7 linked regions of the Oryctolagus cuniculus genome follow. The protein of the gene in region 4 purifies or fractionates together with the protein of the main gene of each other region. This does not show direct contact. Links are inferred from orthologs where the notes say so. Each region holds a gene or a part of one and is shown on either strand. Other genes may lie near its edges.

Region 1 (3,063 bases), on a different chromosome or scaffold from region 4:
TCCTGCTTTTGTGCCCTGCCCGGTGACGGTTGGCCCGCGAGAGCTTCCTTGCCTCTGCTTCCCTTCTAGGTGCTGCTCGCTGATGAGGAGGTCGCCCCCGCTGCCGCTGCAGGGCCCCTGAAAGAGGAGAAGGACCTGCCTGGGGAAGGGCTGTCTCCCCTGCTCCCGGTTCAGTCCATCAAGGAGGAGGAAATCCGGCCAGGGGAGGAGGCACCTCACTTGGCGAGGCCCATCAAAGTGGAGAGCCCGCCCTTGGAGGAGTGGCCCTCCTCGTCCCCGTCTTTCAAAGAGGAGTCATCTCACTCCTGGGAGGATTCGTCCCACTCTCCCACCCCGAGGCCCAAGAAGGCCTACAGCGAGCTCCAGTCCCCGGGCCGGAGTGTCTCGGAAATGCTCGTGATCAAACGAAGGCAGCGGAGGGAGATGAGCCGGTCTCGAAGGAAACAGCACCTGCTGCCCCCCTGCGTGGACGAGCCCGAGCTGCTCTTCTCCGAGGGCCCCAGCACTTGGCGGCGAGCAGAGCTCCCCTTCCTGGCGGAGTCCTCAGAGCCCGCCTCCCAGGAGGAGGCAGGGCCTTTCAAGACCCCCATTAAGGAGACACTGCCCATCTCGTCCACTCCAAGCAAATCTGTCCTCCCCAGAACCCCCGAGTCCTGGAGGCTCACACCCCCAGCCAGGGTTGGGGAGCTGGAGTTCAGCCCTGTACGAACCCCCCAGGGTGCCTTTGGCCCCCTGCCCGACTCCCTGGGGCTGATGGAGCTGAGCACTACCCCGCTGAAAAGCGTTCCTCTCTTTGACTCACCCCGGGAGCTCCTCAATTCAGAACCCTTTGACCTGGCTGCTGACCCCTTTGGCCACTCTCCCCGCTCAGAAATGGAAGCCCCCAAACCAGGCTCCCCAGAGCTGCAGGTTCCCAGCCTTTCAGCCAATCGGTCTCTAACGGAAGGCCTGGTCCTGGACACAATGAATGAGAGCCTCAGCAAGATCCTGCTGGACATCAGCTTCCCTGGCCTGGAGGAGGACCCACTGGGCCCTGACAACATCAACTGGTCTCAGTTCATTCCTGAGCTGCGGTAGAAACCCGACCGTGCCCTGGCCCCTCAAGCTGCCCACCACTGGAGGCACCGCTGTGATAGGGAGACCCAAGGCTTAGTGCACGCCAAGCCCTCTGAGCAAGGACAGCAGGCGGGGATTGATCTCGGCTCCACCTGGCCTGATTCGGCCACGGCGGCAGTCACACCTTAGCCACTGCTGCTGAGACCTCTGCCAGCAGTCGTGCCTTGGGAGCTGCCCTCCGAGCCACTCGTGCCCCCCAAGCCACTCGTGTCCCCCAGGAGCACCTGACTCCCGTCCTCTCCCTGCCAGGAGCAGAAGGGTGGGAAGGACAAAAACCAGGGGGGTGAGAAGAGGGTGAGAACACCACAGCCACGCCCATCCTGTGCCCAGCAGTCTCGCCTTCTCTGCTCCTCACAGGGTGGCTGCTGTGAATAGTGTCAGTTCTCCAAATCGTCCTCTAATTATAGACGTGGGCTTATTTCCTTAGACCGCTGTGTAGAGACTGCCAGGAGAAGGGCGTAGGAAGACGAGGGTTTTCAGTTTGCTTCTGTTCCATGCTTTTGGTTGCTAGAGAAGGGAGGATGTGCGGTGCATGGTTTCTTCCAGGCCCAGGGTACCTGACTCCAGGCTTCATCACCATAGGTGCCCAGACAAGCAGACCTGCCTGCCGGGGGCCCTCTTCCTGCCCCTCCCTCCCACCTCCCCGTGTTTCCAAGTCAGCTTTCCTGCAAGAAGCAATCCTGGTTGAAAAGGTCTTTTGCGATGGTTTTGGAGTTGAATTTTGGGTGGGGGAATGGAGGCATCTGAGGCAAAGGGTGTGGGTACCCAGATAAGCCCCCATGAGATGTTTCTCTGATAATGTCCCTAATCATGCCAGGGAGATGAGCATTGACCAGAACTTGGGCAGAGGGCGTAAGAAGGCTGAGAGAGCCCCTAACGTGCCTGGCTTCCTTAGCTCGCACCTCAGCTTCGCAAAGAGCCACCCTGGGCCCCAGCTGACTGCATGGATGTGAGCCAGCTCAAGAACACTACTGTACCTACCTACTCAATAAAACCCAGGCTGCAAGTGCTGGTCTGTGTGGTCTGTTGGTGCCTGGCCCTTTTGGGGTGCAAAGGGCTGGGAAAGAAGGGGGGTGCTGGCAGGAAAGAAGGGAGGTCATGTGAATCCCTCCCTGCACAGGCACACGTCCTTTCTCACACCGACATTGCTGATTAAAACTTGGGCCTTTGGGGGCTCCTTAGAGAAATCCCGAGAGGAACAGGCCCCCAGAGCCTGAGGGAAGGATAGGCCCAGTTCCAGGTGCCACTGCCAACTGAGGCCTGGAAGGCAGCCTGCCCTGCCTCCCTCCTCCCCACATCTTCCTAGGCAAGTCTGTCCAGAGGCAGCTCTTGTTACCGTCCTCTGCGGTCTGAGTGTATGAGGGGCCAGCGCCGTGGTTCAATAGGTTAATCCTCCGCCTTGCGGCGCCGGCATACCAGGTTCTAGTCCCGGTCGGGGCGCCAGATTCTGTCCTGGTTGCCCGCTCTTCCAGGCCAGCTCTCTGCTGTGGCCCGGGAGTGCAGTGGAGGATGGCCCAAGTGCTTGGGCCCTGCACCCCATGGGAGACCAGGAGAAGCTCCTGGCTCCTGGTTCCTGGCTCCTGGCTTCGGAACAGCACGCCAGCCATGGCGGCCATTGGAGGGTGAACCAACGGCAAAAAGGAAGACCTTTCTCTCGTCTCTCTCTCACTGTCCACTCTGCCTGTAAAAAAAAAAAAAAAAAAAAAAAAAAAAAAAAAAAAGTGTAGGAGGGAAACGTGTCCCCTGCCTGCCTCACCAGAGAGGCAAGTCAGAGGCCTCCTCCCTCCCTCACCACCCAGCAAGCATTACCATAGCAACCCCAGCAGCAAACAATGACACCAGAAAGGCCTCTCCACAAAGCTACCATCCTGGCTGGCAGGCCCACAAGAAAAATGGCCTGCAACCCACAAAGACCACTCAAGAGGCCAAGCTATCCGTCTCGAGTGA
Region 2 (4,242 bases), on a different chromosome or scaffold from region 4:
CTCTGAATTGGCAGCACCCAATCCCAAGCTTTGGGGTCGTTACTAAGTAAAACCAGGGTTGCCTGAACACAGGCACCACATTTGAGTGGCACCTGTCACACTAAGATGCCTACCGAGGGACTCACGAACAGGCAGCACCCGGGGCACGGATGCGGCCAGGAGACAATGACACAGGTCCCAGACAGGCTGGCGAGAGTCCGGCACACGACTCAGAATGCTGCAGAATCTCAAACTTACACACCGTTTCAGTAATTTTCCATTTTAGATTTTTGGGCCACAGTTCACCATAGGTACATGGGAGAACCACTGCCAAGGACGTTAAACGCTGCAGCCGTTCCAGTCGCTGAATGGGCGATCACGTGGGAGGCAACTCGGCATCGACTCCTGGAGCTGACACTACCCCTGACCCGGCAATCCCCACCACAGGGCACTTACACGTGTGCCTCTATGGAGAGGTCTTTTGTGTTCATGGAAAACGAAATGAAAAGATGATTTTTGAAATCCATGCATGCTTTTCTCGGGGCAGGCAGTTTCCATGAATTTTTTGAGTCTCCCAGAACTGAGATACTCTGGATGATTGCACCATTATTTATAATAGTAAAAAAATATTGGAAATGAAATAAATATTCAGTAACAGGGAAACAGCAGCACGACCTAGAGAATATCTAAACAGTGTAGAACCCTGCAACTCCGCCCCCAGCCCTCTGAAGGCTGCAGCACCTGTCTCTTACTGACAAAGAAGGGCTCCAGGGCGCCAGACCCTCACGGGCGCCAGCTCGAGTCCTGGCTGTTCCATTTCCAATCCAGCTCCCTGCTACTGCACCTGCGCAAGCACTAGAAAATAGCCCAAGTCCTTAGGCCCCTGCCACCCACGTGGGACACCCAGATTAAACTCCTGGTTTTCGCCTGGCCTGGCCTGGCCCTGACCATTGCAGGCATCTGAACCAGCAGATGGAAGAACTCCCTCCTTCAAATAATTACATAAATATTTAAAAAAATAAAAAAGAGCTCCAAAATATATTATCAAATGTGGACAAACTAAGATGTTAAAAGGAGTGTATGGTGTGTTACTATTTGTGTACAGAAACTGGGTGACAATCATACTTGCTGGTGTATGCATAAGAGATACCAAAAATGGCTACAAAACCCTAATTAATGTTAGTTTTTATTAGAGTTGGGTGGCTAGAGGACATGGAACAAAGGCCAACTTCATGGAGTCCTCCATAAAACTGACTGCCTTTCACCATGACTGCATCAACCGTCCAGACACTGAGCAATGAAGGAGTGGGAGGCACACGGGTGGGTGCTCCTGGTGTCTCCGTCTTCGCTGTACTGAGAAGGGGGAAGGATGGAGAATCAGGGGAGTCCCTGGCAGGAGCGATGCTAAGTCAAGACCTAGAGCAGAAGACTGAGCAGCACAGAGCACCCAGGCCGAGACCTGGCCCAGGCAGCAGAGGAAGAGCCGTGACACGCGGCACACAAGCAGCAGTGTGAGTGCAGTGGGAAGGAGGAGGAGCAGCCTGCATGGGCCCAGGGCGTGGACTCCTGGGCACCTTGGCAAGAGGTCTGAGCTGCATTTTAGGTGCAAGGGGAAGGCGAAGAGTGGTTCAACGCAGAGAGAACAGTGAGCTCAGTCTGCTCGGTCAGCCTCACTCGGCTGCAGGGGTGAGAGTGGTGGTACAGGCCAACGGAACTGGGTGTACGACGACTCAGCAGAATGCTAGAGAGGGTATGAGAGGCAGAAAAGCCAAACACTCAGGGCCTACCACCCACGTGAGTCTGAGACCCAGATGGAGTGCTAACATAAGATGGCCCAAGTACCTGGCTTTGGCCTGGCTCTGCTCCGGCCACTGCAGGCATTTGGGGAGTGAACCAGCGAGTGGAACAGCTCTTGTCATGTCTCATTGTCTCTCTGCCTTTCAAGTAAAATGAAGATACATAAATCTTTAAAAACTCAGAAATAAAGGCACTGGGGCTCAGGGAAGAAATCTCGGCCAGAAGCAGATTAGGAATCACAGACGTGGTGGTGACTGCAGTCATCAGAAGGGGCGGGTCACAGGCTGGACCTCCAGAAACGCCAGGTGTCCAGGGGAACAGGAGAGGAGATGCTACAAGCCGGGTCAGTGAAGCAGAGGGCGGAGAAGTGGGGGTAGTGGACATTCTGCCATGGAAACCAGAGGTGGCCCTCAGAGGACAGGGAGAAGTCAACAGCATCCAACATGGCCAGGAAGCAAAACATTAGATGGCATTAGGCGTCCACTGGACTCAAGGGTGGCAGTGGGGCAGGAGGCAGGACACTAATGTGGCAGACCTTAGCCGGTGAGGAGACGGAGACGACAGTGGCCGAAGGCAGAGTCAGAGAGACAGGCAGTCAGACAGAGGTTCTGCTCAAGATGGCAGAGACCGGGTTTCATCAAATGTTGATCAACAGGAAATAAGAGGGAGAGGCCAAGAACAGGGTAGAGAGGGTGACCAAGAGCACAGTCCCAAGAAAGCCCGGGCGACAGGGGAGCAGGAGGCCCGCCCCAGCGCTGGGGAGGGTGAGGGAGAAATGTGGTCGAGTGCACACACGGAGGCAGAGCTCCCTCTCCAGGCAAGGGGAGCAAGGACTGCTAAGAGGCAGGAAGAGAGATGGTGACTGGAGGCGTCCTGGGAGCCTCCCGGCTGTGCCAGCACTTTCAGCCCGAGTCTGGGGAGTGGGCAGTGACCGGAACTACAGGCTGGCCTCCCATGTCACAGAGCAAGGCTCAGGGGGAACTAACTTACTACTTTACAGGAGTATTTAAATATTTTCACCATCACCATCTGCCTCCTCACCCCAATTTTAAACATTACTTCTTTAAAAGGTTTAAAAAGCATAGACAAAAACATGGGCTAAAATCTTATCACACAGACTCAGAATCCAGGAGTATGACGAGTACCAGGCCCTGGAAGGCAGAGGGGTAGTAGTTAAGATGGGGATCAGGGAAAGTCACCTAACCCAGGCAGTCTCAGACGTCGCTGAGACAGTAAATAGGTGAACACAGGAAGAAAGCATGCGGGACAACAGGTGCACACCCAACAGCACCAGCCAGCCCTTCACAGGAGAGGCGCTGCAAGAGCCAGATTCCACAAGACAAACAGGGGCACATGAGGGAGTCATTCTAGAGCCTCTGCGTCCAACGCGGGCGACGTGAGAGCTTACCTGGGGACTGTGTGTCTCGCAGTCCATGGCCTGGACGGCGGCCGTGAAGTGGCCCCCGCTGTGCCGGTGCTGATGTGTTGGATCCGACCTGGCTCGCCCACTGTTGCTCGTCCCCGATGATCCACCTTCAACACCACGACACAAAGCAACTTGTGACTTTAAAACTCAAAGCACACTTGAGCAGTGCATATAGTATACATGTATCAAATTATCACACTACACAAATAGGTACAGTGACTGCCAATCAAAAATTTTTTATAATTAAAAAATTTAAATATTAACTTTAAAGTATATCGTAAAGTCATCAGTTTCTCTAAGTTCTCCCAAATCAACCACTGAGCCAGGGCCAGCATTGTGGCACAGCATGTTAAGTAGTTAGCTGCAACACTAGCATCATACAGGAGAGCCACTTCCAGTCCCAGCTGCTACATTTCCAATCCAATTCCCTGCTAACGCACCTGGGAAAGCAGCATAAGATGGCCCAGGTACCTGGACCCCGGCCACGCATGAGGGAGACCCGGATGGAGTTCCAGGCTCCTAGTTTTGATCTGGCCCAGTCCAGCTGTTGTGGCCATTAAAGGAGTGAACCAGCAGATGGATCACTCTGTAATTCTTTCAAATAAATAAAATAAATCTCTGAAAAAAATCCAGTGAATCAAAATACAATCAAGTTTGGTTTCAATTACAGGAAAATTAAAGGATGTGAATAAAACAATTTCATTAGAAAAAGAATTCAGGAATGAGCATTCGATACGGTGGTTAAGCCATCCCGTGGGGTACCTGCATCCCGTATCAGAGTGTCAGAGTGCAAACCCCGCTCTGTTCTCCACACCAGCCTCCTGCTAACAGGAACATACAAGGTGGGAACAGCTTCTGGTTCAAGTGGTTGTGTCCCTGTTACCCATGTGGCAGAGCCAGACAGAATTCCTGACTCTTGGCTTCAGCCTGGTCCATCTCTGGTTGTTGTAAGTATTTTGGGATTGAACCAGTTTATAGGAGATCTCTTTTTGTCTCTCTGCCTTTCAAATACATAAGATAAAACTTGGCTAATAAATACT
Region 3 (4,242 bases), on a different chromosome or scaffold from region 4:
GAGAAGGCTGACAGTGATCTCCCCTGGCAAACAGTTAAGAGGTCCCTTGCTCTAAGTCCCACAGGGTGGGGCAGTACAGTGTAGGCCAGGGTTAGGGGACACTGCAGTGGGTCCCAGTTCTGCCCCTGGAATGTGAAGTCTAGCATGAGCTGGCCTTCAATCAATCCTAGGGTCCCCAGGCTGTGATTGCCAGCTCCCTTCAAGCGTGGGCAGTTTCCTGGCTGCCCAGACACAGCACACAGAACAGGCTGGGCCCTGTGCTTGGTTGACTGCGAGGACCCAGGCCAGCCCTCCTGAGGCGAGAGGAGGCACTGGGAGCACCTTGCAGGCCCACGGGCAGGTCCCTGTCCTGCCTGGCTGTGATGCAGGGCACGTGCACTCGCCCTGGGCCCCAAGAGGGTGGCCTGGCCTTTTAGGCCAAGGATTTGAAACCTGCAAACTCAGCACTGGAGACCGCAGAGGGACAGGAGTCTGTGCTGCTTCCAGCCCCCGCAGCTGGAATTCATTAAATGGTCACTGAGATAAAGGATGGGCCTGACTGTAAGTCCCAACCTGCCACCACCAGGGACTCCCAAGGGAGCCTGCTGTGGAGCCACTCTGCGAAGAGCAGATGGACAGGAGCTTGGCAAGGAATTTAGGCCAATGGCTCGGGTCGCCCGGGGGCCACAGCAGAAAGTAGCTGAGTGCTGGTGGACGCCAGGACCACCTGTCCCGAGTGCTGACTCAGCTGCCAAATATAGGCCAGGCCATCCCCAGTCACGAGTGTCAGGAAGGGAGGCAGCTCACCCTGTCCCTGCCTCCAGTGTCAGGCTGGATGCACAGTGGCCATGTGACCAGAACACTCCAGCTCAGGGGCCTGTGGGTCAGGGGAGGCCTTCCGATCCCAGGGAGCTTGGGATCAAGAGGCCGCGGGGCCTTTGCCTCCTGAGTCCTGACTGTGGCGGGGCAGCTGCTGCAGACCCAGGAGAAGGTCGCCTCTCACAGCATCTAGCACCAGGCAGAGGAGGTGCTTGCTGGGCACTGACGTCACTCCCAGGGCCCGCGTGACGTCGCCGCCTCCAGGACCTCAGAGCCAGCCCAGACTCTGACCAGCTGCACCCATAGGTGGGCTTCCTCAGCTCGTTGGGCTGGCCCCTGGTGAAGCAGAACCACTCGCCCGCACAGCTGCAGGAGGGGTCAGTGCAGGTGACGGATGTGACGGATGTGCCCAGGCACTGCGCCCCGAGGGGCTCAGCTGCTTTCCAGGCCCGGGGCCTAGCATGGGGTGGTGGGTGTGCCTCCGTTCCTGCTCCCTCACTCAGACTTACGGGAAGCCCTGAGACAGACATCTGGAAAACAGCTGAGATGAGCCCCTGTGTTGTCGGATGGTGCCCCTGAGGAGTCAACTGAGCAGACTCAACTCCAAGATCCCGTTCTGACGTTCGTCCCCCACCCCAGGCACTCCCAACAAGAAAGGCGCTCTGAGCCAGGGGTCCATGCCACAGGCCCCTCCCTGCTCCTGCAGCCCTGGAGGAGGACAAAAACCACTCTCATTCCCCACTCACTGAGCTCCCTGGGATCGGAAGGCCTCCCCTGACCCACAGGCCCCTGAGCTGGAGTGTTCTGGTCACATGGCCACTGTGCATCCAGCCTGACACTGGAGGCAGGGACAGGGTGAGCTGCCTCCCTTCCTGACACTCGTGACTGGGGATGGCCTGGCCTGTATTTGGCAGCTCAGAGTTAGCACTTGGGACAGGGGCTGCAAGGGGTGGGAACTTCAAGGCCACACTGACTGGGCACCGAGTCTGCACCCTCAGCACTTCCCATCCCTGACCTCTGTGGCTGTGCCGGGGGAGCCCTGCCAAGACTAGAGTCCGCCTACACTGTGAATCGAGGCAAAGTCCCAAGGTGTCAGCGCTTCTGGAGAAGTCTTTCCCCAAAACGGTTTTGCAGGAGAGGGAGAGAGAAGCTTGTGCCCGATCCTACCTGAAGGCGTAGGTCTTCTGATGCCAGCTCAGCTGTCCCCGGATGCTGTATGCGATGGTGGTGACAAACTCCCCGCCTAGCCCCAGCTCCGAGCACAGCTTCAGGGCAAACTTCTCTGGCGAGTTCTCCTTCTCCGACATGTCCCACTCAAACTGGTCCACCAGGGAGATGTTTCCCACGTGGATGTTCAGCTATGGCAGGGACCAGAAGAGAAGTCAGAGCAGGCAGCACCGCCCCCAGCCCAGGGAGGTGGCTGGGAGGTGTGACAGACCACGCTGGAGCCCCAGACCCAGGGTGGAGCCTACCCACAACTCAAAGAGTTGAGAACTGGAGCTGATCCTTGCCCTTCCAACTTTCTATCTGCAAACGGCTGACCCCATAAACCTGCTGACTGCTGTGAGGGGCTCTAGGTAAGAGCTGGGCAGTCATGCTTGGGGAGGCCCTGAGGGTACCTGGGTCCACCTCATCTCCATCCCCATCCCCCATGCTGGCTGGGGCCTTCTTTCCTGCTGCTTGCCACCGTTGTGTGACTTTAACAGGCAGGGCTCAGTTCAAGTGTCCCTCACCAGAGACATCCATGAACCCCTATCTTGGTCCACTGTCTACGTCCCTCTCAAAATCATTTCACCAAGCATGCTCCCAGATGTACCCCCACCGTGTGCCAACCTGGCCAGGTGACAGGCCAGACCCAAGGGGGAGAGCAGCATGCAAGTAGACCCCTGTGGGCAGGTGACAGAGAGGCCCAGGCGCTGCATGTACACCTGGGGAATACCTGGGAAGTGGGTCCGTGGGAAGCTGGCACCCAGGAGCTCCCACCCACACCCATGTCCCTTGATTCCCCACTCCCTGGTCAGTTGTGCCTGTTCTGAAACTGGTCATCACTGGATCACGCAGGAGGGACCCCTTGGGACTGACTTCACTCCCTCAGCATCACATCTGTGAGCTCCTCCCCTGCTGTCCAGTGTTCTGCTGGGTGAGCAGGTCATGGAGTACCTGCCCACTCACTCTTGTCTCTAGCAAGACGAAGATCACGGTGGCAGGTGGGCAGCCTCATGGTGAACTAGCCACTGCTCTCATAGCCCAACCCTCCTGGGGACTTCTGCTGCCCTTCTGAGAAGTCAAAGCATCCAACTCCTGCCGGCATCCAGGAAGTCCTGTGCGGCTGAGCCTTTTGCATCAGTTTCCGCTTACCGGAATGTTCTTCCCTTCACCTGGGCATATGCAGCCTCTTTTCAGTCTCCTGGCTGTGGCTGGGGTGCCAAGTCCTGAGACTTCTGCTCCCCACCAGCCCTCTCCCCACTGTCCACCTGTTTTCTTCACAGATCTTAGTCCTTTGTCTACTTCTTTCCCATCTCAAACCGGGCATCCTGAGCATAGCCCCAGGGCCTTTGTTTCAGGCCACAATGAATGGCGCCCACAGCTCCAGGGCAGAAGAGGAGGCTGAGGGGCAGAGGAATGGTGTCTGTGCAGGGCACACAGCTGGGCACGGCGGCCTGCAGCAGACTCCCAAGGCCCTCCTGTCCCTGTGCACACTCACACTTGGGGATTAAGCTGGGTTTTTGGAACAGACTCAGAGATGCTACCCCGTCCCACCTGGAACCATATGCCAGGCCAACCACGTGGGTGCTGGGCCCAGGAAGAACATGCAGTAGCAGGCAGCCCCTAGGAACACTCCAGGCAGGACCCAACAGGCCCACGGTGTGTGGCCAATCCCCAGCAGCCATCCCTGCCCAGGCTTGCGGGCTCTGCTGCCTGTCCACTGCCATTTGGTCACTAGGGCATTCATTTATTCAAAAGCAAGACTGTGAACCTACCAAGGAGAGGCACAGACAGACAAACATTCAGAAACTAAGCAAGGCATGTCAACGGGCACAGGGCATTCAGACTTCACTGAGCCTGGGCAAGGAAGCCAGGGAGGGGCAGGAAGTTGGGCCCAGCCTCTGTGGTCAGGAGGCCTTAGGAAGAACTGAGTGAGCCCAGGAAGCAGTCCTGGAGCTGCCTGTGAGGGGCACAGAGTGAGAAGGCCTGAGGAGCCAAGTGTGGCTCCCAGCTAGGTCCAGGGTGAAGATAAGGGGAGGAGGTGAGGGCAGCAAGGGGCTGGGGCCCAGGCTGAGGAGGGTCCCAAGGCTAGGGCAGGACTTGGCCTCTACAGGGCAAGTTGGGCATCCTCTGGAGTGCCGCAAGTGGAGAGACCTTGGCTGCACTGAGGAATGGCTGGAGTCTGGACAGGCTCAGAGACAAGGCCTCAACCAGACCCCACAATCCTGTGTGCTCCCC
Region 4 (4,817 bases):
TGAGGACCCCGACCGCAGGCTGGGCCCCGGCTGGTTCAGGTCACTGACCTCTAGCCGTGGGGTTCCACTTCCCTCCGTTCTTCTGTCAAGGGGCCACAAACGTGCACCACGGCTGCCCAACAGTGTGCAGACGCCTCCTGGCCCGAGAGTCACTTGCTAAGGCTCGCTGGGGCTACATGGCGTCTGCACTGCCCCCAGGTAGGTCCTGGGGAAGGTCCCCTGGGGGCTGGACACCCTGTCCAGTCTGGAGGCCTCCAGGACCCAGGGGATCCGAGAGTGTTTATCCCTCACCCATTCATTCACCAAATTTTACATGGCTACTTGTTGGCCACTGTGCTGTCACTAAGAGAAGGCTTGGCCCACAAGGAGCTCTGGGCCCCACACGCTTCCTGCCTGTTCTGTGCAGACTGACTTCCTGGACAGTCCTCTACAGGAGTTAACTCCCCGAAAGTGCAGGGATACCTGACAGATACCTGATAGATAAACAGATCTAGGGGCTGCCTGGAGGAGGTGACATCTGAACTTGGAGGACCAATTAAAAGTTTAGCCAGGCCTGAGTGTTCCCAGTCCAGGGCAGAGCAGGCCTGATGCTGGCAAACATCTGGTGGCCCGGCGGGTGGCGAGCAGGCCCGAGGGAAGTCCTGCCGGGCTTGCCACCGCCATCTTACGCCCTGCGTGTTTCCACTATGTTCTTTGTAGCGGAATTTGCCAAGTTTTCCACGGACAGGAGGTAGGTAGCTGTTTCAAACAGGATCTTTGCTTCTTCCGGGACGTCCACCAGCGTTCCGTGAGGAGAAGCGAGGATGCTTAGCGGGAACTTGGCCAGGGCAGCCGGCGGACGAGGCGGACAGCACCGGAGCCGCGGGTCCGCGTCCCCAGGGAGGCGAGAGGGCGGGCCGGCGCGGCGCGGTCAGAGCGGCCGGAGCCCCTGAGGGGAGCTCGCCGTCCGTCCGTCCGGGGCACCTGCAGGGGGCGCGCCCCAGAGCCCCGAGGGGAGGCGTCGGCCCTGGGGCTCCGTCGCCTCGGAGTTGGGGAGCGGGGCCCTGGGAGTCCCGTCTGCTGCTTCCCGCCTCGGTGACCTTGGAGAAGTTGCTCGGGCCCTTCCTGCCTCAGTTTCCCCTCTCTGCCGCCGCCCGACGGGCAGCGGGCCGGAGCGTGGTCTGCAACCCGCAGGGCCCAGTCCACACCTCCGGCAGGCGGCGAGAGAAAAGTCGTCCCCGGCCCCCCCTCGCCCGACGGGCAGGGGACGCGAAGAGCCGCTGAGGCGCGGCGGCTTCCCGGCGGGACGGGCGGGACGGGCGGGCCCGCGACCTCACGGCGCACGCTCCCGGAACCCGTGCCCCCGCGGCCCGGCGCAGTCAGAACAAAAAGTGGCGGCTGGGCCCGGCGCCCTCGCGCCCCACAGGCCCGGCCCCCGCCGGCGGCCGGTCGCTCGCTCGCTCGCTCGCTCGCTCGCCCCACGCACGGCCGCCGCGCCTTCGGCCCTTCCGCCCGAGCGCGCTCGGCTCTTTCCGCCGCGGCCGGCGCAGGTGGAGGGGGCGGGGCGGGGGCCGTGCGTGGTGACGCTGCGGGGGGGTGACGCACCGGCGTGCCCCGCCCCCTCCCCCTCCCCGTTCAGGCTCTGGAAAGAGAAGAAAAAAAACTTTCTTTTTTTTTTAATTGAGGAATCAACAGCCGCCATCTTGTCGCGGACCCGACCGGGGCTTCGAGCGCGATCTACTCGGCCCCGCCGGTCCCGGGCCCCACAACCGCCCGCGCACCCCGCTCCGCCCGGCCGGCCCGCTCCGCCCGGCCCTCGGCGCCCGCCCCGGCGGCCCCGCTCGCCTCTCGGCTCGGCCTCCCGGAGCCCGGCGGCGGCGGCGGCGGCAGCGGCGGCGGCGGCGGCGGCGGCGGCGGCGGCACGGGGGTGGGGGGGCCGCGGCGGCGGCGGCGACCCCGCTCGGCGCATTGTTTTTCCTCCCGGCGGCGGCGGCGGCGGCGGCGGCGGGCCGCGGGCGGCGAGCCGAGCCCGGAGCCCCCTCGTCGTCGGGCCGCGAGCGAATTCATTAAGTGGGGCGCGGGGGGGGAGCGAGGCGGCGGCGCGGCACCATGTTCCCGGGGACTGCCTGAGCCGCCCGGCCGGGCGCCGTCGCTGCCAGCCGGGCCCGGGGGGGCGGCCGGGCCGCCTGGGCGCCCCCGCCGCGGAGTGTCGCGCTCGGGAGGCGGGCAGGGGATGAGGGGGCCGCGGCCGGCGGCGGCGGCGGCGGCGGCCGGGGGCGGGCGGTGAGCGCTGCGGGGCGCTGTTGCTGTGGCTGAGATTTGGCCGCCGCCTCCCCCACCCGGCCTCGCTCTCCTCCCCTCGGCGCCCGCCCGCCCGCCGGCCCGCGCTCGCTCGGCGCTCGCTGCTGGCCCGCGGCCGGCCGGGCCCCCGGCCCTGCCGCCCGCCTTCGCGAGCAGGTGAAAATGGCCGAGAACTTGCTGGACGGACCGCCCAACCCCAAACGAGCCAAACTCAGCTCGCCCGGCTTCTCGGCGAATGACAGCACAGGTGAGGAGCGGGCCGGGGGTGTGGGCTCGGCGGGGCGGCGTCCACCCGAGGGCGGCGGACGGAGCCGGGAAGTTCGCGGGCAGCCCGCCTGTCACCGGGCCCGAGGGCGCCGCGCTGGCCCGGGCGCGCCGGGCTCGGCGGAGTTGGCTGCTGTGCCGGCCCGCGACGCAGCCGAGCGGCGCTCGGGATAGGGGGCGCGGGGCGGTGCGGGCGGACGCCCCCCGCGGCCGGCGCGTGGGCGGGGGTCGCGGCCCCTTGCCGCGGTTTCCCCCGGGGCCAGCCGCCCTCTCGGGAGTTAGCACGAAGAAGTTTCGTGGAATGTGTGCCTCGGAAAAACGCGAAGCAGTTATTTTGAAAACTCTTGATCTTTTTTTTCCCTCTCTCTCTCTCTCTCTCTCTGGTGGGTGGGGGCCGCCTTGTCATTCCATTTTTCAAAAACCCGGCCTTCGTTAGGAACGCGTCTGTCATCCGAGCTGCCGTGGCGTGTTTTCACTTACACGCTCAACTTTCAAAGAAAGTTGGCGGATCCTGCGAGTCGTCTGGGCTGCGGCAGCCTCCGCGGGAGCTTTGCTGCTCTCCGGGGTGGGTGCGCGGAGAAGTTGGGTTAAGCCGTGTAGGAATCCCGATGTTTCGGAAGACGTACCAGCAGGATGCTGACTAAGTCACCCACCCACCCGCTATGAAGCAGCTTCCCTGGGAACCCGGGGATCTGCAGGAGCCCGAGAGGTCGCGCGGCTCGCGGGGCGTCCTCCCGGAGCGCCCTCCTGCAGCCGGGCTTGGGAGCGCCGGTTCTCGGCGCGGTCGGTCCAGTGTGGCAGCATCTGAAAACCAGTTTCCGACGAATGGGCGAATGGAATTACACCTGCTGCTCGCAGGCCCCCGGCGGGTGGAAGTCTTCCTGTGACTGGCCACTAGTGTACTGAGGAGCCTGTGCGTGTTCTGGAAACTGAGTTTTGTGGCTTCAGTGTGGAATCCGGTTATGACAGTGGCTTGTAAGTTAGGGAAGGGGTCTAAGACGGTCGGCCTCAGGAGAGTGCCTGGTTAACTTACAGGGTGTTGCCTGGTCCGGGGAGTAGTATGGGGGCTCCCGAAAGTCAGGCAGGGTGCTTTTCTCTTGAACGGCTGGCGGCTGAGCTGGGCTCTGGTTTTAGGAAGGGGACGCACGGGGTGAGAGGTGTGAAGCCGCGCGGTGCACACCCTCCTCTGGGCCCGGCCCTGCAGCCTGCCCGCCCGGTCAGCTCGGAAGCCTCTCCAGTGGCCGCTGGCGTGCGTTTTAGCGCTGCTCTTGTTGGACTTCTGCACGGGGGGGGGGGGGGGGGGACTGAGAGAGACTTGTGCTGCTGTGCACAGAAGGGGCGTGGCCTTTTGGGGTGGCTTCTGTTGCCGGATAGGCCGGGGGATGTGCTGCCAGTCGGACAAAGCTGTTACGGGAAGGGGTTCCCCCAGGTACCCACTGCCTCTCCGTGTCCAGTTTGGGCCCTCGTGAAGCACAGGGCTGCTGAGCTTTTCCAAGTGTGGAACAAAGTCTGTTTTAAAGAATACGAATAATGAAATAACTACTCCAGCTGGGTCGTGAGTTACACGTTTGTCACAGTCACTGGTCTGGACGGGTGTGTTGGTATGGGGACCAAGGACTCAGACGGCTAAACAAGGCACACTTGACAGTAACTCCTAGTCTGGCATCGGGTGCCGAGATGGACATGGATCTTGGTGTCTCTTAAGTAGATAGGTGACTAGGGTATTTACATTCAGTACATTGAAATGATGGGAGAGAGACCTGAGAAAGTAACATTTTTGAGATTTTCAGCCCTATTTTGGTGAGATTTGGGCCGGGTGGTGCAAGCATTGGCCCTGCAAACGTAAGAACCGAGGGAGTGGAATGGCCGGTGTGCCGCGAACCTGAGCACCAGGTCAAGTCTCAGCTGCTCCGCTTCCCATCCTGCTCCTTGCTGTTGTGCCTGGAAGAGCAGAGGAAGATGGCCGGGTGCTTGGGCGCCTGCCACCCACGTCACAGCCCTGGATGGAGTTCCTGGCTCGTGGCTTTGGTCTGGCCCAGCCCTGGCTTTGTGGCCATTTGGGGAGTGAACCAGTACATGAAAGTTCTCTGTCTCTGTAACTCTGATTTTGAAATAAACATATCATTTTTAAACAAATTGAGGGATGGGCGCTGTGTTCTCCAGGGGGACCTGAGGGTTTGGAGAGAGAGGAGAAGGCCGCCTCGGCAGCCTGAGCACCGGGAGCAGCTTGTGAGGTACTGAGGCCAGGGGAGCCGGCCCAGGGCGCGTCCCTG
Region 5 (4,981 bases), on a different chromosome or scaffold from region 4:
GTCTAGCGCTGCTCCTGGAGAGATGAGCAGAATTCATGCGAAGGCTCTGAGGAGAGGGGCTTGTCCCACAGGAGTGCTCAGCAGACCAGCCCGCGGGAGCCAGCAGCGACGCTGGACTCTGGAGGAGTCGGTCTTACGGACAACTAAGGCTTTACAACAAGGGAAGACCTGCATGGTGGTAACTGGGAGCACTAACCCCCACACACATTCCTGGGCCCTAATCAAGGCCGGAAACAAACCCCATGTGGCAGCAGCTTTCCCAGCAGGCGGCACAGGGAGGCCGTTCTGAGCCGGAGATGACAGGCACATGGTACGCCTGCATGGAACGCTGTTTTGAAGGAATTCAGGCTGTTTCCAGTTCTGAACTAAGCCGTCTAGAAGCAGCCCAGGCCGGTACAGGGAGGCCAGAGAAGAATCTGACCCTGGCTGTCCTGTGACCAGGACGAGTTTAAGACGGTTACATTTCTGAGGCCTCCCCAGTCATAGGTTTGCGGGAATCCCAGTTTCCAAGCTGGCTGTGAGAAGCCTACCACCCAGGCCCGCAGTCTCCTTCCTCCGGGGTCCTTCCATCCTCGTGGAACCGACAGCACTCAGAACTGTCCTCCATGTCTGCCTGGAGCGACCTGGATATGGCCAGCCTCCATGACCCTTTCTGCATGCTGCAGCCAGGCTCCCAAAAAGGGTTTGCAATCTGGGGCGGGCGCTGTAGTGCAGCAGGTTAAAGCCCTGGCTTGAAGCGCCGGCATCCCATATGGGTGCCTGTTCTAGTCCCAGCTGCTCCTCTTCCAGTCCAGCTCTCTGCTGTGGCCAGGGAAAGCAGTAGAAGATGGCCCAAGTCCTTGGGCTCCTGCACCCCTGTGGGAGACCCGGAAGAAGCTCCTGGCTCCTGGCTTTGGATCGGCACAGTTCCAGCCGTTGCAGCCAATTGGGGAGTGAACCAGCGGATGGAAGACCTCTCTCTCTCTGTCTACCTCTCTCTGTAACTCTGTCTTTTAAATAAATAAAAATAAATCTTGAAAAAAAAAGGGGGGGTTTGCAATCTGCCATCCCTTTAGTGCAGAAAGCCACTTTTGCATTAAATCCCCTTCCAGGACTGCAGTGGTGGGGAGCTCACTGTAGCTATTTGGTAACTGAGGGCTCCTACAAATTGGGATCCACAAACATAAAAAATAAATTAAGCTTTTCTAGTACTAACTGCACAGCAACCCTCTCAGAGCAGCACCATGTGGCCCTCTGGGACTGAGGAAAGTGGGCATCCCACAAGGCTGGGGTGGCCCGGGGCCTGTGGAGATCTGTGCAGGTCACCTGTGCCCCTCTCAGGCAGAATTAGGGAATGCATTACTCAATTTATGAATGCGACGCTCACCCAACAAACATGGGCTTCGAGTCCTGAGGAGAGCTTCAGTGCATGTACTTCCTGCACATGTGACAGAACTGACACTGGCCCCGTGAGAAGCTCAGCCAGACACCTGAGGGGTAAAGTCGATGAGACTCTACCCAGATCTAAAAAGAAGTCAACCCAAACAACTCCAAGCTGTAAAAGTCATCGAAATACAAAATTTTCACTCATTAACAATGTGATAGTTCTCACTGTCATGCAAATCTGTGTGTTTTGTGCTGTACAGTGCTTAGCAACAGTGGGAAGACATAATTATCAAATACTTTAAGTATTATAAATTTTTCAATAATAAATACTTGAGGGGCCATCGCTGTGGCATAGCAGGTAAAGCTACTGCCTACAGCGCCAGCATCCCATATGGCCACCAGTTCCAGGCCCGGCTGCTCCTCTTCCAATCCAACTCTCTGCTACGGCCTGGAAAAGCAGGTAGAAGATGGCCCAAGTCCTTGGGCCCCTGCACCTGCATGGGAGATCTGGAAGAAGCCCCCAGCTCCTGGCTTCAGATCGGCCCAGCTCTGGCCATTGCAGCCATTTGGGGAGTGAACCAGCAGATGGAAGACCCGTCTCTCTCTCTCTCTCTCTCTCTCTCTCTCTCTACCTCTCCCTGTAACTCTGCCTTCCAAATAAATAAATAAATCTTTAGAAATACAAATGTAAATAAGTAAATATTTGATTATTTTCATCCTTAAAAATTTTCTCTGTATGTTTTAGAATATGGAACACACCGGTACATGGTGTGCTGGTAGACAATATCCTAACCTCAGCATAGCTCCAGAACTGAATATATACTTCTTTAGGAGGCACGGTCAACACGGCCCAGGGATCAAAGTCTAGATGGGTCCGCTGAGCTTGGCCACTGCCCCTTCTCACTCCCTCCGGAAGGCCAGGCCAAGGGGAGGCCCCAGCCGTGCGAGCAGGGAGGAGCCGAGGCTGCGGGAGCCCTACCTGATTGTGCCAGCGGATGACGTTTCCGAAGCCCCCAGTTCCCAGGCGTTCTTTCATTTCCCAGGCCCCGCAGGTCTGGGTTGGCAGCGAAGGCGACCAGCTCATGCTGACGTCCTGTTAAGTCTGTAAGGAATTTGGGGTGGAGTCGGGGCACAAAAGGTTAAAGTGCGAAACCGAGCAGCTGAACTGATTTTCATTTGTGTCCAGAAACCGGGTCGTAAGGTCGGTCGCGCTGTCTGGGGTCTTCCCCACCCCCCAAGTCACCCCAGGGAGACGATGCTCCACCCCCAGGGCCACTCCCCGGACGGCGGCCACGCGCGCCAAGCGGTCACGCGTGTCCGCAGCCAGCCCGGCCGCCCGTGCGCCTGGGCTCGGCGACCCCCACCCGCAGCGGCACGGCGCGTGCGCGCCGCGAACCGCTACTGCCCGCCCACGCCGGGGTTCCTCGGGGCCTCCGTGGGGAGACAGGCGGGGAGCCCCCGAGCGAGCACCCACGCGGACCTGGGGTCTGTGGGGGGCCGGGGCCTGCGCCGCCCGCGGGACTCACCTGTCGGCGGGGACGCGGGGCGGGGGCCAGGCTCCCGGGGCTGGGGACGCGGGGGCCGGGGGACCACACGGGGGGCTCTGACACCCCCCCACCGAAGACATGAAAATGCGGGAACCTTAAACCAGCCAGCCCAGCGCCACTTCCTCAAACACTTCCTGACCTGACGTCACGGACCACGTGGCCGCGCTTAAAGGGGCCGCGCCCTGCCGCGGTCGCGCGAGCCGGGCCTGCTCCTGAGGCCTGTAGCGCGGGAACCCCAGCTGTGGGGCGGGGGGCGGTTGTTTGGAAGGCCCGGACGACTCTGGAGGGTGCTGGGCCGAGTGTGCTCTCCGGGGGGGGCGAGCGCAGCCCTGAAACGGAAGCCCCCCCCGCGGCGCTCCCGGGCTTTCACCGGGGAGTCACCGGGAAACTTCCCGCGCCCGCCGCCAGCACGACTGTTTACCGGGAGCGCCGTCCCGGGCCTGGCGCGGGGTCCTCAGAAGTGACGCAGCGCGCACAGGAAAGGAAGGGAAATGCTTTTGGCCCCAGCGTGCGCCTAAACCCGAGGTTCAGCGTCCTGACTGGGGAAATGGGGGAGAGGCCCTCAGCCCGCGCTCCTCTCTCATCTGCTTCTCACTGTTGTGAGGAGACGGTGTGCATGTATTTTACTCAAGCAGGAAAAACGTATTAAAGGAGACCTGAGGGGGCCTGGCACAGCGGGTTTGAGACCCGGCTGCTCCACTTCCCATCCAGCTCTGCTGTGGCCTGGGGAAGCAGTGGAAGATGGCCCGAGTCCTTGGGCCCCTGCACCTGCGTAGGAGACCAGGAAGAAGCTCCTGGCTCTTGGCTCCAGATCGGCGCAGCTTCGGCTGTTGCAGACGTCTGGGCAGTGAACCAGCAGATGGAAGACCTCTCTCTGTCCCCTCCACACCCCACCCCCGTCTCTGCCTCTCCCCTCTCTCTGTAACTCTGACTTTCAAATAAATAAATAAATAAATAAAGGACACCTGAGGAGGATAATATTCACAACTCCAGGCACGGCCCTAAACTCTGTTCTTAAACATTTTTTTACTCAACGCTTTGGCAGCCTTACCAATTGCACAATACCACATTATTGCCATCCCATTTTGCAGGTGGGAAAACAAGCTCAGCGTAGAAAAAGTCTTCCATGCCGCAGCCACAGAGCCACTGATACACGAACCCAAGCAGCTGGTTCCCAGGTCTCACTGATGATACTAGGCTGTGTGCTAAGAAGCCAAGAAGGCAGACTGCATTTGGAGTCCAGACAGTTAACTGCCCACCTCTGATGTGTAAACATACATCTCTTCTCAAAATGGAGGTTAAATCGCATGAAATCATCCTTTTCTAGGAATCGGGAACAGTGGAAATGCGAGCCACCAAGAGCAGCAGTTTCCATCTGGTTTGGCCTCACAGTGGGAGGACAGGAAGGCACACAGGTCAGACAGGAGATGCCCAAGGAGCAACACAGGGGTCCTGGTCAGAGGTGCCTCCCATCCAGAGATCGACGCCAAGTCTTAGGAACAGGTGTGCTCAGGGCTGAGGCAGGCACGGTCAGGATGAAAAAGAACCATGGGTAAACAGTGGTCAAAAACGTGGAACTGTGCCTGGCGTGACCTAGATGTAATGTGTTTCTTTAATAAACACAATTTTGAAGAAAAACGTTTATTGAGCACCTATGTGTGCTGGGCACTCATAGAGTCTGTTTCCTGGGTGATGTTGGGGAAACAGTTCTCTGAAATTCCTGTCCCGGAGAAATTTACGAGGCATCCACTGATAGTACTGTGCCACTGCTGTTTATGATTTCTTGGTTGAAATATGTGACATTTGTTCACCTTCTATAAATAAATTTCAAAGAAGAAAAAAAGAGTTCTTATTTTGCTCAGCTAAAATACTTGATTTTTCAACTGAACATAAATCTGTCTGATAAGGCCTCATGTCACTACGTTGTGGTGTGTTTTGGATCTGGGAAGTGAACCAGCAGATAAATCAATGATGGCCAGGAAAGGGTCTCTGGATTTTATCATGTTCCAAGATGTTTATCATCTTCAGCCCCATTTTTCAGCCAGATAACAGCTGTCCCAGATCCTGCT
Region 6 (4,242 bases), on a different chromosome or scaffold from region 4:
AAGCTGCGCCAGGAGAACATGGTGCTGAAGCTGGCCAATCAGAAGAACAGTGAGTACGCGTGATGCGGGGTCGGCCTCCCGGCTGCGCGCTAGGCACTAGCCCGCCCAGGGGCCCTGGAAACTGGTCACAAGCTGGAGTTTTCTTGGTTTTGAAGCTGTATTTTATTTATTTGAAAGGCAGAGTTACAGAAGAGAGCTTATATCTGCTGGTTCACTCCCTAAATGGGTGCAACAGCCAGGGTCTAGCCAGGCCAAAGCCAAGAGCCTGGAGCTCCATCTGGGTCTCCCCCGAGGGTGCAGGGGCCCGAGCACTTGGGCCGTCTTGTGCTGCTTTTCCAGGTGCATTGGCCGGGAGCTGGATCAGAAGCGGAACAGCCAGGGGTTGAACCAGCGCCCATATGGGATGCAGGAGGCAGCTTACCCCACTGTGCCGCCATGCCAGCTCAACAATTTATTTCTTTATTTGAGAGACAGAGTGACAAAAATGAAGAAAGAGAGATGTTCTGTCCACCAGGTTACTCCGCAAATGGCTACAACAGCCAGGACTGGGCCAGGCCAAAGCCAGTAGCCCAGAATTCCATCCAGGTCTCCCAAGTGGGGGCAGGGACCCAAGCAATTGAGCTATCATCTGCTGCCTCCCAGAACGTGTCAGCAGGAAGCTGAATCGAGAGCGGAGCAGCCAGGACTCAGCACTGGCACTCCGATGTGGGAGGCAGGAACCCAAGGAAGCAGGTGGACCCCTGGGCACCTTGTTCGCCTCTCAGTGGCCTTTTCTTTGCAGAGCTCCTGAAGGGCATCGACCTAGGCAGTCTGGTGGACAGCGACGTGGACCTGAAGATCGATGACTTTAACCAGAATGTCCTCCTGATGTCCCCCCCGGCCTCCGACTCGGGGTCCCAAGCGGGTTTCTCCCCCTACTCCATCGACTCAGAGCCGGGAAGCCCCCTGCTGGATGATGCAAAGGTACAAGTCTGACCCCTGGAAGTCCCCCTCCCCCAGGGCCACAGTGGGGAGGCGGGGAGCCTGGGCCCGGTGGGCGGGCCAAGCGTTCAGAGGGCGTGGGCCGGAGAAGAGCTGGAGTTCTGTGAAATAGCCAGGTCCTGGAGAGCAGAGGGGAACTCCCTCAGGTTTGACTGGTCCCCGCTGAAAGGCCCTTTCAGGAAGCAACGCGTGCCAGATCCAGAGCTGGAGCCCGGAGCGCTGTTCACGGGCACTGGGATTTGCCGGAGGTGCCTTGTGGCTTCCCTGGGCCCGTGGTGGGCCTGGCAAGACCACTACACCAGAGGCAGAGCCACTGGTTTAGGCCAAGGCTGCCTCTTTCTGGAGATGATTCCAGTTTGCAGTCTAACAGGTCACATCGCAACCAAGAGCTTTTAATCCTCAAAGACAGCCTCTGGCGATTGTATCTTAATGGAACTAGTTAAGAGAAGTTCTGAGCCTAATGAGCTTCGGGGAAGCCTGTGGAGACCCCTGGGTTCCACGCAGCATTTTGACGTTGACAATTTGGCTGCAGAAGCAAAGTTGCCTCTGGTGTGTGTTTATTGTAGCAGGCATTCTCCGTTGTCCATGTATTGTACAGATGTGACAGTTTGGCAACAACAGGCCGTGCGGCGTATGAGATGCATTAGCTGAGGTTTCTGAATCATCAGAAGGCATTTTCAGATGGTTTTAGCATTTTTGGAGCCGTGTGCTCTGCACACTCGGGGCTCAGGGAAGATCTGCGCCAGCCTCCCTCCCTCCGCGTGGACTCCCGGGGCTGGTGGGCTCAGCTGTCGTGGAACAGGCAAAATCCTTTAGGCAGGTCCACGCGAAAGTATGGCCTTTAATGCGCTTTACTGAGGTATGACTTCATGCAATAAAAATATATCTTTTTTAAATAGAAATATTTCCTTATTTATTTGAGAGGTAGAGTTACAGAGAGAGAGGAGGAGACAGAGAGAGAGGTCTTCAGTCTGCTGGTTCTCTCCCCAAATGGCTGCAACAACTGGAGCTGGGCTGATCTGAAGCCAGGAGCCAGGAGCTTCTTCCCAGTCTCCTACATGGGTGCAGGGACCCAAGCACTTGGGCCGTCTTCCGCAGCTTTCCCAGGCCATAGCAGAGAGCTGGATCAGAAGAGGAGCAGCCAAGACACGAACCAGTGCCCATATGGGATGCCAGTGCCTCAGGCAGAGGCTTAGCCTACTTTGCCACAGTGCCGGCCCCAAAATATATCTTTTTTTATTGTTCTTTCTAAAGATTGATTTATTTATTTGAAAGGCAGAGAAACAGAGAGACAGATCTTCCATCTGCTGCTTCATTCTCCAAATAGCCTCAATGACTGGGGCCGGGCCAGGCCAAAGCCAGGAGCTTCTTCCAGGTCTCCCATGTGGGTACAGGGACCCAAGCACTTGGACCTTCCTAGGTGCATTCGCAGAGAGCTAGATCGGAAGTGGAACAGCTGGGACTTGAACCAGTGCCTCTATGGGATGCCGGTGCGGGAGATGGCAAATCTACCCACTATGCCACAGTGCCGGCTCACCATCTACAGTCCTGGGAGTTTTCCAGACATGCGCAGCCACGTAACTATCAGCACAATGAAGATGCAGACATTTGAATTGCCTCTGGAAGCCCTGGCACACCTGGCAGGTGGCTCCCACACGTTGGCCCCCAGCCCCAGGCAGCCACGGTCCACTGGCCATCTGGCCCTTTAGATTCTCCTTCCCTGTCCTGGAATCGCGCAGGAGCAGAACCATCCAGTGTCCTGTTGGGACTGAGCTCTACCCCAAAGAAAATCGCTTCCGCTCCCGCTGTCGGGAGCATGGTCTCTTCTCGGCCCACCGAGGGAGAGCACACCGTGTGTGAGCAGCGCTGTGTGAACTGGGCTTCCCGGTTCGCTCCTGGCTGTTTCCTGTCTTCCCTGGTGGTCTGTTTCCTGGCGTGTATACGAGGAAACTGCCGCGAACCCCCACAGGACGCATGCCCACCTCCCGGCCCTGTTTGCAGGTCAAAGATGAGCCGGACTCCCCCCCTGTGGCGCTGGGCATGGTGGACCGCTCCCGCATCCTGCTGTGCGTCCTCACCTTCCTGGGCCTCTCCTTTAACCCCCTGACCTCGCTGCTGCAGTGGGGCGGGGCCCACGACACCGACCAGCACCCGTCCTCCGGCTCCAGCCGCAGCGTCCTCTCCTTGGAGTCAGGTAGGCTGGCTGGGCAGCCGTGGCGGGAGGACTGCGCGCAGACCGTTCGCTCCCCTGGTAGATCCCAGGTGCTGTTGCGGCCCCCTCTGCTTGCTGCCTACAGGGACTGCCCAAGTCCCGTTTTAGAAGTAAAAGGCAGACGCACGTTCAGGTGGAGAGGACAGAAAAATGAGGAACCTGCCATGCAGGAGTTCCTGGGAGGGGGCGGGGGAGGGGGAGTGTGCCTGTCTGCAGGGGGAGGGGTGGTGCGTCTCGGCTGAGTTGGAAAGCCAGCGTCCTGATCCTCTGGGGCTAGCAGAGATGCGTGTGGAGCTCAGTGTGGCGGTGACAGGGCTACAGGAGTGCCGTGTAGACCATGGGCCGCCGTGGGGCAGAGGCTCTGGCATTCACTCCGGGGTCCGTGGGGCCCTTGCTGAGTGCACCCCCACCCCGCCACGCCCAGGTCCCACAGGCTGGCTTGACTGGGTGATGCCGACGCTGCTGCTGTGGCTGGTCAATGGGGTCATCGTCCTGAGCGTCTTCGTGAAGCTGCTGGTCCACGGGGAGCCGGTGATCCGGCCACACTCGCGCTCCTCCGTCACCTTTTGGAGGCACCGGAGGCAGGCGGACCTGGACCTCTCCAGGGTGAGTGCTGTCCACCCTCAGCTTCCTCCACAGGCTCCCTAAGAACTCGGCAACCTGTGTGGAGTCCGGTGTGGGTGGGTCCTGTGGGAAGGGCTGTGGTACAGATGGCAGGGGCCCTGCTCCTGGCAGGGGTGGACGGTGGGTGATCTCCCATCCGTGCTGTGCCATGGGAGGAATCAGGTGCCGTGGCGGGTGGAGGCAGTGCAGCCGCCTTCTCAACGGGGGGATCTGAGGCTTGGCAGAGCGCTTGGGGCAGGCAGAAAGGTGGGCGTGGCAGGAGGGCCTTCCAAGCCAGGGCTGGGGACCGTAGTTTGTGCTAAGGGCCATCTGGGTATTCGTAGCATCATCTGGGAACTATACAAAACTTTGAGCTCAGACATCAGCCTGCTGTAGATGTATTGAATTTCCAGTCCCACCTGCGCTTGCCTCGCCTGGACCAGACC
Region 7 (4,242 bases), on a different chromosome or scaffold from region 4:
CCATCCTGGCTATTGTGGCCATTTGGGAAGTGAACCAGTGGATGGAAGTTCTCTCTCTGTTTTTCTTCTCTCTGTAATTCTGCCTTTCAAATAAATAATATTTTATAAAAAATATTTTATTTATTTATTTGAGAGGTAGAGTTACAGACAGCGAGAGGGAGAGACAGAGAAAGGTCTTCCTTCCGTTATTTCACTCCCTAAATGGTCGCAATGGCTGGAGTTGTGCCGATCTGCAGCCAGGAGCCAGGTGCCTCTTCCAGGTCTACCATGTGGATACAGGGGCCCAAGGACTTGGGCCATCTTCCACTGCTTTCCCAGGCCATAGCAGAGAGCTGGACTGGAAGAGGAGCAGCAGGGACTAGAACCGGCGCCCATATGGGATGCTCATGTCAGATGGCACCTTTTCCCTTTATTCCATAACACTGACCCAAAATTTTTTCTTTAAATGTATGAAGGTGAAGTTTTGGTTGTCATTTTTTATTTTATTTTTAAACATTTATTTATTTGAACAGTGAAGTTAGAAAGAGAGAGGGATCTTTCATCCATTGGTCACTCCCCAAATGGCCGCAACAGCCAGAGTATACTCGGGCCAATCCGAAACCAGCAGCCAGGAGCTTCTTCCAAGTCTCGCATGTGGGCCCAGGGGCCCAAGTACTTGGGCCATCTTCTGCTGTTTCCCAGGCCCATTAGCAGGAAGGTGTATTGGAAGTGGAGCAGCCGGGACTTGACTTGATGCCCATGTGGGATGTTCTATAAGAGGAGGCTTAACTTTCTATGCCATAGTGCCAACCCAACGGCCGTTTTCCGGTGCCTTCCCAGGTGTATTAGCAGAGAGTTGGAATGGAAGTGGAGCAGCTGGAACTCGAACAAGTGCCCATATAGAATGCTGGCATTGCAGGTGGCAACTTTACTGGGTACACACAATGCTGATGTAGTGTTTTGTTTTTTTTAAATATTTATTTATTTATCTGAAGGGCAGAGAGACTTGAAAGAGGGAAAGACAGAGAGAGAGAAGAAAGAGAATCTTTCATTTGCTAGTTCGCTCCCCAACTGCCTGCAACACCCAACTGCCAAAGCTAGTAGCCAGGAACTCCATCTTGGTCTCCTACACAGCTGGCAGGGGCCAAAGGACTTGGACCATCTTTCTCTGCCTTCCCAGATGCATTAGCAGGAAGCTGGGTCAGAAACGGAGAAGACAGGACTCAAACTGGCACTCTGATACAGGAGACTATTGTCACAAGCAGTGGCTTGCCCTGCTGTGATACAAAACTGGCCCACTGGTTTAAGTTTTGTTAAAGAAAATGGTACTGTATTTGGTGCTTTTGACTCAGGGACACTCAATTCTGTCTGTCCTGTAATACAGGACAAACTACAAAGAATTCACATTACTTTTCTGTTTTGGTAATCTTGCTTTGCTATTTTTGTGCTTATTTTATTGGGATAAGGTTTTGGAAGATTTTTCAAGGGAACTGAAAAGACGAAGCAAGGGCAGGTATGTGGCCTCGTGGCTGAGATGCTGTGTGGCACACTCACATCTCCTGTCTGCATTCCAGCCCCACTCCTCTTCTGATCCAGCTTCCTGCTAATGTGTACTCTGGAGGAAAGCAGGTCATTACAAGTACCTGGGTCCCTGTCACTCCCGTGGGAGACCCAGACTGAGTTCCAGACTCCTGGCTTCAGCCTGGCCAAGCTCTGGCTGCTGTCTTTGAGGAGTGAACCAGTGAAAAGGAGCACTCTGTCTCTGACTTTCAAATAAATAAAATAAATGGATAAAAGACTAAGTCACTTTCTTTTCTTTTTCAGAAATAATGACTTGAACAAAAATAACTTACAATTCTCCAAAGGTAAAATGATATAACAAGCGCTACTAATAAAACTTGTTAAAATTCTTATCTGCAGGATACTCTAGATGCTCTAACTGGAGCTGGCATTTTTGTCTACTTTTATGGAAAACTGTATACTCAAATCATTACAGTAGGTACAATTTTCCGTGTTATTTTGCAAGCAAACTAGTTAAAGCCATCTTGAGGGGCCAGCACTGTGGTGCAACAGGTTAAGCTGCTGCCTGTGACACCAACATTCCATATCAGCACTGGTTCAAGCCCTGGCTGCTCCACTTCTGATCCATCTGAACATCAGCTCCCTGTTAATGCTCCTGGGAAAATAGCAGAAGATGGCCCATGCAGTTGGGGCCCTGCCACCCACATGGGAGACACAGATGAATCTCTTGGCTCCTGGCTTCTGCCTGGCCCAGCCTTGACTGTTGAGGCCGTATGGGGAGAACCAACAGATGGAAGATCTCTAACTTTGCCTTTCAAATAAATAAATCCCTTGGGGCCAGCGCTGTGGTGCAGTAGGTTAATTCTCCACCTGCCCCAGCATCCCGTATGGGCGCCAGTTTTAGTCCCAGCTGTTCCTCTTCCAGTCCAACTCTCTGCTATGGCCTGGGAAAGCAGCAGAAGATGGCCCAAGTCCTTGGGCCCCTAAACCCTCGTGGGAGACACAAAAGAAGCTCCCGGCTCCTGGCTTTCGATCAGCACAGCTCCGGCCATTGCAGCTATTTGGGGAGTGAACCAGTGGAAGGAAGACCATTCTCTGTCTCTCCCTCTGTAACTCTACCTCTCAAATAAATAAATAAAATTTTAATAAATAAATCCCAAAAAAACAAAACACATCTCAAAGCAGACATCTGGTGTCAAACAAGCTAGCTCCATGCCATTTTCTGATATCTAGGTGAAAGCAGGCACCTATTAAGTCCCAATATCTTATGAGATAATAATGTAAAAATGAAAAGAGAAAAAAGGTGGAGATGGGAAGGAGGGACAATAGGGTTGGAAGTATCATCATGCTGTTAAATCTGCATATATGAAATACATGAAATTTGTTCCCCTTACTTTTTTTTTTTTTTTTTTTTTTGGAAAGGCAGATGGACAGTGAGAGACAGACAGACAGAAAGGTCTTCCTTTTTGCCGTTGGTTCACCCTCCAATGGCCGCCTCGGCTGGCGCGCTGCGGCCAGCGCACCGCGCTGATCCGAAGGCAGGAGCCAGGTGTTTCTCCTGGTCTCCCATGGGGTGCAGGGCCCAAGCACTTGGGCCATCCTCCACTGCACTCCCTGGCCACAGCAGAGAGCTGGCCTGGAAGAGGGGCAACCGGGACAGAATCTGGTGTCCCGACCGGGACTAGAACCCGGTGTGCTGGCGCCGCTAGGTGGAGGATTAGCCTATTGAGCAGAGGCGCCGGCCCCTACTGAGTCTTAAAATAGAAAAAATTGACCCTCTTCCTCTTACTTTGAAATCCATTCTTCTTTTCTTTTTTCTTTTTTTTTTTTTAATTTTTTTGACAGGCAGAGTTAGACAGTGAGAGAGAGAGAGACAGAGAGAAAAGTCTTCCTTTTTCCGTTGGTTCAACCCCCCAAGTGGCCACCACGGCCAGTGCATTGCGGCTGGCGCGCTGCACTGATCTGAAGCCAGGAGCCAGGTACTTCTCCTGGTCTCCCATGGGGTGCAGGGCCCAAGCACTTGGGCCATCCTCCACTGCACTCCCTGGCCACAGCAGAGAGCTGGCCTGGAAGAGGGGTAACCGGGACAGAACCAGCGCCCTGACCGGGACTAGAACCCGGTGTGCCGGCGCCGCAGCCTTTTTTTTTTTTTTTTTAGATGCAACTCACCTTCCTTCACTATCTTTACAGTAGGGACAGGTGCATGCTTCCCGGCGTGTCCTGCGACCAGCCTGGGGTTGCGGATCTGGGCTGTTCTCTCCTTCCTCTCCACCTGCTGTATCATCATGTATTCCATCACCACCAGCACCATGGAGGCCAAGCTGAGCTCCATGATCACCTGAAATTAAAAAGAACAAAGTGGGAAAGTGTGAACATCACCACAGCACCAAACACTCCAGGGACACCATACATTTATACAGTATCAAGTCTTCAAAGTTTTAAAGCCACATCCACTGACTGTACTCAAACCTGAAATTTTAAGAATGCACACAGCCAAAAAGTATATGAAAATGTGATCAGTCACTCATAATTTACTTGAAAGAAAGAGAGAGGGTGAGACAGACAAAGAGGCAAAGATCTTCTAACCGCTGGTTCACTCCCCAAATGGCCGCAATGGCCAGGGCTGGGCCAGGCAAAAGCCAGGAGCCAGGAGCTTCTTCCAGGTCTCCCATGTGAGTGCAGGACCCAAACACTTGGGCCATCCTCTGCTACTTTCTCAGGCACATTACTAGGGAGCTAGAT

What was found.
Region 1: the proteins of CREBBP (region 4) and FOXM1 purify together in Homo sapiens (affinity purification with western blotting; 5 studies listed by BioGRID, with this or other methods). This does not show direct contact. The link is inferred for Oryctolagus cuniculus from reciprocal best matches to the Homo sapiens genes CREBBP and FOXM1.
Region 2: the proteins of CREBBP (region 4) and DYRK1A purify together in Homo sapiens (affinity purification with mass spectrometry; 4 studies listed by BioGRID and IntAct, with this or other methods). This does not show direct contact. The link is inferred for Oryctolagus cuniculus from reciprocal best matches to the Homo sapiens genes CREBBP and DYRK1A.
Region 3: the proteins of CREBBP (region 4) and SMARCB1 fractionate together in Homo sapiens (co-fractionation; 3 studies listed by BioGRID, with this or other methods). This does not show direct contact. The link is inferred for Oryctolagus cuniculus from reciprocal best matches to the Homo sapiens genes CREBBP and SMARCB1.
Region 5: the proteins of CREBBP (region 4) and IKBKB purify together in Homo sapiens (affinity purification with western blotting; 3 studies listed by BioGRID and IntAct, with this or other methods). This does not show direct contact. The link is inferred for Oryctolagus cuniculus from reciprocal best matches to the Homo sapiens genes CREBBP and IKBKB.
Region 6: the proteins of CREBBP (region 4) and SREBF2 purify together in Homo sapiens (affinity purification with western blotting; 3 studies listed by BioGRID and IntAct, with this or other methods). This does not show direct contact. The link is inferred for Oryctolagus cuniculus from reciprocal best matches to the Homo sapiens genes CREBBP and SREBF2.
Region 7: the proteins of CREBBP (region 4) and SP1 purify together in Homo sapiens (affinity purification with western blotting; 5 studies listed by BioGRID, with this or other methods). This does not show direct contact. The link is inferred for Oryctolagus cuniculus from reciprocal best matches to the Homo sapiens genes CREBBP and SP1.

What each region holds. Positions count from the first base shown.
Region 1 is NC_091440.1:106,461,368-106,464,430, forward strand, and holds the end of FOXM1 (forkhead box protein M1), read left to right. Parts: exon of another isoform or gene 1-69; coding exon 70-1,077; 3' UTR 1,078-2,125; downstream 2,126-3,063. Other genes in the region: TEX52 (testis-expressed protein 52), read left to right, coding at 2,949-3,063. UniProt on the Homo sapiens protein: Transcription factor regulating the expression of cell cycle genes essential for DNA replication and mitosis. Plays a role in the control of cell proliferation. Also plays a role in DNA break repair, participating in the DNA damage checkpoint response.
Region 2 is NC_091435.1:7,444,947-7,449,188, forward strand, and holds part of DYRK1A (dual specificity tyrosine-phosphorylation-regulated kinase 1A), read right to left. Parts: intron 3,310-4,242; coding exon 3,185-3,309; intron 1-3,184. UniProt on the Homo sapiens protein: Dual-specificity kinase which possesses both serine/threonine and tyrosine kinase activities. Exhibits a substrate preference for proline at position P+1 and arginine at position P-3.
Region 3 is NC_091452.1:30,759,593-30,763,834, reverse strand, and holds part of SMARCB1 (SWI/SNF-related matrix-associated actin-dependent regulator of chromatin subfamily B member 1), read right to left. Parts: intron 2,157-4,242; coding exon 1,966-2,156; intron 1-1,965.
Region 4 is NC_091450.1:31,666,232-31,671,048, forward strand, and holds the start of CREBBP (CREB-binding protein), read left to right. Parts: upstream 1-1,678; 5' UTR 1,679-2,442; coding exon 2,443-2,527; intron 2,528-4,817. UniProt on the Homo sapiens protein: Acetylates histones, giving a specific tag for transcriptional activation. Mediates acetylation of histone H3 at 'Lys-18' and 'Lys-27' (H3K18ac and H3K27ac, respectively).
Region 5 is NC_091433.1:92,470,227-92,475,207, reverse strand, and holds the start of IKBKB (inhibitor of nuclear factor kappa-B kinase subunit beta), read right to left. Parts: upstream 3,060-4,981; 5' UTR 2,892-3,059; intron 2,468-2,891; 5' UTR 2,450-2,467; coding exon 2,345-2,449; intron 1-2,344.
Region 6 is NC_091442.1:117,803,728-117,807,969, forward strand, and holds part of SREBF2 (sterol regulatory element-binding protein 2), read left to right. Parts: coding exon 1-49; intron 50-781; coding exon 782-963; intron 964-2,982; coding exon 2,983-3,175; intron 3,176-3,617; coding exon 3,618-3,799; intron 3,800-4,242.
Region 7 is NC_091442.1:56,398,773-56,403,014, reverse strand, and holds part of SP1 (transcription factor Sp1), read right to left. Parts: intron 3,839-4,242; coding exon 3,670-3,838; intron 1-3,669. UniProt on the Homo sapiens protein: Transcription factor that can activate or repress transcription in response to physiological and pathological stimuli.